Drosophila melanogaster: one gene and its partner. The protein of the gene in region 1 interacts with the protein of each later gene in a pairwise test. Each region holds a gene or a part of one and is shown in the gene's direction. Other genes may lie near its edges. The genes, in order: tpr and CG13962.

Region 1 (4,258 bases):
TCGTAAATAACCCCACTCCCATTTAACATATAGATGTGCTCACACATGCAACTTGTTCGGCCGTTTTTTTCCCCCCGTATTTTTCATTCGGTTTTGTCTAGCCGGGGCATTATGCAAATGGCACTTTGTTTTAACTGCGTGCACTGCGGTTGGGCAATGCAACCGACTATGCCTTTGATGGCTGCCCACCAGTGATGCTAACGATCTATTAAAATAAAAGTGAAAAATCACCAGGAATTCAATTAAAACCACGCGCTAAATTGGCATATTTCATCAAGTTCAGCATACCATAGCGAATTTTCCAAACAATGGTGAATATCGTTATTATGTTGCCGTCATTATATTATGTTACCATTATTTGCCTTTATAACATTTTGTGATATATACTCTTAAGTACCCAAACTGAGATACTAATTTTATTTCCGAAAAGTTGAGATTTGCATCTCTAGTGCGCAGTGTCCGCTGAACTGACATTAGTTCGTCATCATCATCATCCACAAGCCCATGCCCCAACCATCCATTCGCAACTGCAACTCCATGTAGCTCCACTCGAACTGCATCTGCCTCCAACATTACGCGGACAATTAATATGCCAAGTGTTATGTGTGCGCATACTAATGACTGCTCCAACCGGCGACTCCTCGGGGAGACCTCCTCCGATTCCGCCCCTCCTTTCAGGGCAGACCCTCCTCGACCATCCATCCATCAATGGCCGGTCATCCAAGTGGCGCAGGCGCAACGGCGCCGCCTCCATAGCCCTACAAGTTGCTTTTAATGATCCAGTGGAATGGGGCTACTTAAGCCCATGACCAATATGACTCACGACTGGAGTGGACACGTGCGGATGCCACAAGTCGGCTGCATCGTTAATCTCTGCTGGGAGGAAAGTCCAGCCTGACGGTTTCATGTCTTGTGGGAGTTTATTTTTGCTTTTATGACGATTGCTCTTCTCCTTGGGAAGCTAAAAGGGTAATTAATGTTGGAACTCAACTCAACAGGGTTTGCTAAAGGAAAATGTAATTTTTTAAATCTAACAAAGAAAACAATATATTTAAACTACTGAATAAGACTTGAATCCATTTGGAATTCCTCTACGTAAGATCACAGTTCTTAACCCACATATCTGCCTGTTTTTAAAACGCCCCAAGCCCCATGAGTCGGCCAAATTGGCAAAGCCAACCACGTAAACGATGTAAATGTAAACAGTGCCACAAATTTATTGTTGTCAGTGGCATTGTTGCTGTTTTTTTTTTTTTTTTTATTGTCAGCTGTTATAGCTGTCGACACACAAACACTGTACCAGCCGACCCACAAAATCGCCGAGAAGTAGCCCCAATAATATAAATCAAAAGAAAGTAAAATTACGATGCGTCGCCGAGCAATCGATTGGACGGAAAAGAAGCAAAAAAAAAAATTCATTTCAATAAGTTTGAAGCGAGAAAAAAACTTTCGCTACTTCAGTGGCGCAAATTACAACAAAAGCCCACTTTAGTGGATGAGTGGCTTCGATTCTGTTGAGTTTTACTTGCCAGCCAACCGAGTGAAGTATCATGGTCAAGCGGTGGATAGTGTGGATGCCCTGAGGCACCCACGCATGCGCAGAATACAAATGCAAATTTAAGGGGAGTGCGAGAATGCACCGCGAGAAATTCTCACCAAGTTTGGAAAGTATATATTTTTTTATAAAATAACTGAAAAATGTACATACAAGTGTACAGCCAATACCATTGATATATGTTTAATAATACTGTACATTATTACGCTAGATATTGGTATCGCTCTCATAAGAATCTCTTTTATATTCTTTAGTCGTTTATAATATCTAGAACGCTTCAATATTGGCTAAAATAAATTTATAGAGTATACCTATGTTTCTCTCTGTGCGGATTGGATTGGCAAAGTGGACGTGCCACCGGCCAGAACCACTTTTTTTTGGGTGAAATGCCGCTTTCAAATGCTGGCCAAGCGGCTGGGCGATCAGTTCGCCGAGAGCCACGCGAGTGAATCGGTGGTGTCGCTGTGGAGAAAGCCGGAAAAAGTCTAGAGAAATGAATCGAGCCTGGTTGTGTCTGCTGATCTGCCTGGCCTTAAGCTGCGGTCCAAGCCAATCAGCCAGCCAGGATCGTGCAACGAACCAAACGGCAGCGAGTCCGCTGCTGAAACAATCTCAGAACACATTTATCCAATGGGTTCTCTCACTTTTGCCCCAACGTCCCGGCAGTTCGGATTCGGAAAATGCCACTCTGGCCACCTTGAGCAGCAGCTCTATGATGCCGGACGCGGCATCTACCACATCAACCACCACACCAGCCCCGTCTTCCAGCACCACTACAACGAGAAGGGCAACCACTCCGGCCCCACCCACTTTGAATCCGCCAAGGAATTGCAGCGACTGTGTCTGCGGAATAGCCAATATACAGAAGAGAATAGTCGGTGGTCAGGAAACGGAGGTTCATCAGTATCCCTGGGTGGCTATGTTGCTATATGGCGGAAGGTTCTATTGCGCCGCCTCCTTGCTCAACGATCAATTCCTGTTGACCGCATCGCATTGCGTCTATGGCTTTCGAAAGGAAAGAATATCGGTGAGATTACTCGAACATGACCGCAAGATGTCGCACATGCAAAAGATCGACCGCAAGGTGGCCGAGGTGATCACGCATCCCAAGTATAATGCCCGGAACTATGACAACGATATAGCCATCATCAAGTTGGATGAGCCGGTGGAGTTCAACGAGGTGCTCCATCCCGTTTGTATGCCAACGCCGGGCAGAAGTTTCAAGGGCGAGAATGGCATTGTCACTGGCTGGGGAGCGCTCAAAGTTGGTGGACCCACTTCCGATACTCTTCAGGTTAGCCAATTTAAGATTGGAGTATAAAATGCAATATAAATATATCTGAATATTATTTTCTGCAGGAGGTTCAAGTGCCAATTCTATCGCAGGACGAATGTCGCAAGAGTCGCTATGGCAACAAGATCACGGATAACATGCTGTGTGGCGGATACGACGAGGGTGGCAAGGACTCGTGCCAGGGCGACAGTGGAGGTCCTTTGCACATCGTGGCCAGCGGAACGCGAGAGCATCAGATCGCCGGCGTTGTCTCGTGGGGCGAGGGCTGTGCCAAGGCCGGTTATCCTGGCGTCTATGCCAGAGTGAATCGCTACGGAACCTGGATCAAGAACCTCACCAAACAGGCTTGCCTCTGCCAGCAGGAGACCAAGAAGATCAAGTAGCGAACATCTGGCTATTTCTGTATCTATTAATAGTTCAATACTCTTGCTTGGCTGGCAATGTTTAATATTATATCAGAATTTGTATCTTCCATCCAATGTGAAAGACAAGTTTTCATTACAAAAAGCTTGTTATTTCCAAAATCACTAATCTCATATGCCAAGAAACGAACTATTTTCGCCGAAAATAACTATGCAATTTCTTGGGATATATGCTCCAAAACTTTTTGCCACCCTTGCAAGAGTAAGTCAACTTCGGCTTCGTCGAAGATCCCATTTTCAAGCTGTTTTATATTTATTGATTAAAAGAAAAGTTTCCATAAAGTGCGCTAACCTTTCTCGGGAGCCGGTTTCCTTTGGTGATTCTGGTCTAGCCAGTTCTTTGGCTTGGCTAGCACTTCTGGTTCTCATCAGTCTTCTTGCTGGATGTGGCCAGGATCCATTTGGTTAGTTGCCAATTGCCAGTTGGCCAGGTTAGTACACCATGTGTAATTTTCATCTTCTGCTGATTCTTGCCACAGCACTGGGCGATTTGGCTTGTGCCACGCCCTCTCTGCGTTCCGCCTCCGATCCTGAGAAGATCTTAAACAATCTAGCTCAACTAAGGCAGAGTAGCTTTCTGGACTGGATTCAATCGATCCTGGGACCCGAGGTGCCAGCCGAATGGAGCTCTCCGGCCAAAAGGGAGTGCGCAGAGTGCTCCTGTGGTAATATCAATACTCGTCATCGCATCGTCGGAGGTCAGGAGACGGAGGTCCATGAGTATCCCTGGATGATAATGCTCATGTGGTTCGGTAATTTCTATTGCGGCGCTTCTTTGGTTAACGATCAGTATGCCTTAACCGCTGCCCATTGTGTAAATGGCTTCTACCATCGTTTGATCACGGTCCGATTGCTGGAGCATAATCGTCAGGATAGCCACGTCAAGATCGTGGATCGCCGGGTTTCCAGGGTGCTCATCCACCCGAAGTACAGCACCAGGAACTTTGACAGTGACATTGCTTTGATTCGTTTCAATGAACCAGTTCG
Region 2 (3,192 bases), on another chromosome or scaffold:
AAGACATCTGTCTTAGCTACCTAGATATCATATTTCGAAGGGTAGTTACATAAAATTTTATAGGTATTTATACCCCTTACACTTAGAATAACAGATTACAACAGATTCGATAAATATTATTTACCAGGTAGAGGAAGACCTTTCCGACCCTATAAATATAAATATATTCTTGATACAAAATAACTAGCCGTGTCTGGCCAAGTCCTTCCATCCGTTTGTCCGTATTAACGTGGTCGCCATGTTTATATTAGGCATGTTTATATTGGTAGCGACACTTTATTTCATTTAATAACAGAATAATACCCATTTACTTATCCTAATTACTGACATGTGTATATTTATACCTGAATGTTATCTCACCAGATTATCCAAGGACCTTTGCTATGTGAGTAAAAACCCTCCCTGAAATATGCAATAACTATATTCGATTCTGAAGTCTGCAAGTAAAGTAATTCCCAACTGATTTTAGCTGCAGTCGCATGAAGTCCTTTGTCCTGGGAAGGAGTAGTTATCGCTTCTCGGCCTTATGGCTAAGATCAAAGTGTAGTATCTGTTCTTATCAGCTTAACATCTGATAGTTCCTCCATTGGAGGACAACAAATGTTAAACTGATTTTTGGAATCAGACGGAGTGCTAGGGGCTTGCTCCACCTCTGTCACGGGTTGGCCCGGTATTGCAGTACCGCCGGGATTTCGGCCCAACTGAATAATAAATATTTAATTATAAACATTAGTGAAGAATGCTCTCTTTACAACCTTCTTTATTGGGAAAAGTCTTACACGCTTGACGTTTAAAACAATCTCGCCCTTTTACATGCAAATTCGAATGGTAGGATTGTAGTTTCCTGCTGACATTGCGAAAGTGTCCTTTGCCTTGCCTCTTCGCATCGATTCTATTCCTTTTGGGCGGAGGCAAGCTAGCTAGCTAGCTGGTTTTGTCTGTCGAAAATTGTTTAGCCTTCGTCTTCTTCGTCGCGTTGTCAAGTGATTTGGAAAATTGAATTGATCAATCGCTTTGTCAATTCTGTTACCTATTACTGATTGATTTTTAATTTTATAGTTGCCTGAATTGGTTAAAATGGAATCTGATAGTCTATGGACTGGACCCAATAGTTTTTTATACATTTAAATCATTAAAAGTATTTTCTTTTTCGCTAGCCACTACTTTTTGTTATCTTCCTGTCGAATCCCGGATTCTGCTATCCATGAACCGATCCATTTTTGACTACATCATAAACGAAGAAGTCTGCCAGCCCATGAGCCATCGTGAGGAAAAATAGTAATCAGAGGGAGCAATCTCTGGTCAATCGGCTAGTGGGTTTCCAAGTAAGATTTTACGAGCCAACTATCATAAGTCAAATACTTTGTCACGTCCATATCCATATTCCTTGCAATGATGGTCTCGTTTGGTATTCAAGCTAACAATAAACATAACCACCTTCTTATACACTCCATCAGCCACCTTTCTTCACGTTGACCGTGAATACACATCTGCGTTTATATTGAATGTATTCGAAAGTAATTGTCATTAATAATTAAATCATTTGTATCTTAATACAATGAGTAGCCAGACCCTTTTCTGCACTATTCCGTGGGAATATCTCTCCAGACTTTATAGCAAAAGTTCAATACAATATATTCAATATTCCTTTCTAGTTCCTAATCGCATTTACTTTATCTCGTGAGCCAGCTTAAAAACACAGTAATTCATAAAAGAAATCAACGACTCACTGATAACGACATGTGTATAAAAAGCCTATCTCTGCTCAAAATTATTTGAGTCGAATTAAATCACTTGCTGAAGATGCGTTGTATGCTTATAGTATTTGCCATAGCTGCTGTAGTAAGTAAAAAAATTGAAAAAGTCGGATCTCATTGTCTTAACCCAACGGATATTCCATAGAGCCTTTCGTGTGCTGCTCCTGCGAAATCGCAAAACGAGATGTTAGCTCATTTCTTTGACTATGCTGACACCCTCCGTGGCATTCAAATCCATAATATGATGTCACTCACCATCAAATTCGTGCAACAAGTTGTGGACACAGTTCCGCTTGAACAACGTGGACCGGGAACGGCTGCCCTCCAGGCCTATGCCAACAAGGGCAAGAGTCTCAAACAGCGAGGCACAACTGGCGAGAAATATAACTATATCTACGAACTGCAACAGGTATTCGAGGGACTCAACAGCGAGCTGAGTCAATCGGCACCTGAATCCCAGGTGATTGGAATGAGCCTGCTGGGTTTACTGGGCGTTAGCACTGAATTCGCCAATGAGAATGAGAAACTCCACAATAAGTTTGTCGAAGGTGCCACCCAAATGAAAGCCATGTTGTCTCCGACCACAATAGCTCGGGAAAGTGAGCTCCTCGAGGCGATCGACAAATACATCGCTTCCACTGATATACAGCAGCACGAAGCTCTCTTTATGAAAGTCATGAGCTTCAAGGATAGGTACTAAGCTTAAGTCAATAAAACGATTTACACAACATGGAATGAAAATTAGAAGTGGATTAATATGACATTATATTGTTATCACAATTTGTTGTCATGGTTGGCAACGAAAGAGAGATTATTTTTATTTAAAATATTATCTGCATAATTCATATAAGAGATAATTCGCATTATTCACTGATAAGAGATGTTTGGAATAATTTTAGATTTAATCCAACATTGAGTGTATTTTTAGTAGTAAATACTCATATTTTCATGGACTTTGAAGACTTGGAAATAAATGTTAATTCATGGCAAAATCAATGTTCATTTCTTATGGATCGAGATCCTACTTCCTAATGTATTAAATTATCGATAGAAATTTACAAGACTAAAAAAAATATCAAAACATTTTTCAAAAGTGTGGGCGTGATAGTTTTGTGCGGTTGTGCGGCGTGGCAACATGAATCTCTAGAATCTGTACTCTGAATCTCAACCTTTTAGCCTTTAGAGTTACAATATGGTTATAGGTACAATCTTACAAGCAGATCGACTCGGCTCTTGATCCTGATCAAGAATATATATTTATATTTATATGGTCGGAAACGCCTCCTTCTGTCTGTTACATACTTTTCAACGAATCTAGTATACTCTACGAGTAACAGGTATAATTAGGAACAACCAATTCAGCCAAACACTATAAACTCGCCAATCAGTAATAGGTAACAGAATTGACAAAGCGATTGATCAATTCAATTTTCCA

What was found.
Region 2: the proteins of tpr (region 1) and CG13962 interact in a two-hybrid assay, tested with the Drosophila melanogaster proteins (one large-scale study listed by BioGRID).

The regions. Positions count from the first base shown.
Region 1 is NT_033778.4:21,798,622-21,802,879, reverse strand, and holds tpr (tracheal-prostasin), read left to right. Parts: upstream 1-1,975; 5' UTR 1,976-2,048; coding exon 2,049-2,849; intron 2,850-2,914; coding exon 2,915-3,232; 3' UTR 3,233-3,550; downstream 3,551-4,258. Other genes in the region: CG18735 (uncharacterized protein), read left to right, coding at 3,714-4,258.
Region 2 is NT_033779.5:19,813,124-19,816,315, reverse strand, and holds CG13962 (uncharacterized protein), read left to right. Parts: upstream 1-1,783; 5' UTR 1,784-1,842; intron 1,843-1,902; 5' UTR 1,903-1,998; coding exon 1,999-2,457; 3' UTR 2,458-2,612; downstream 2,613-3,192.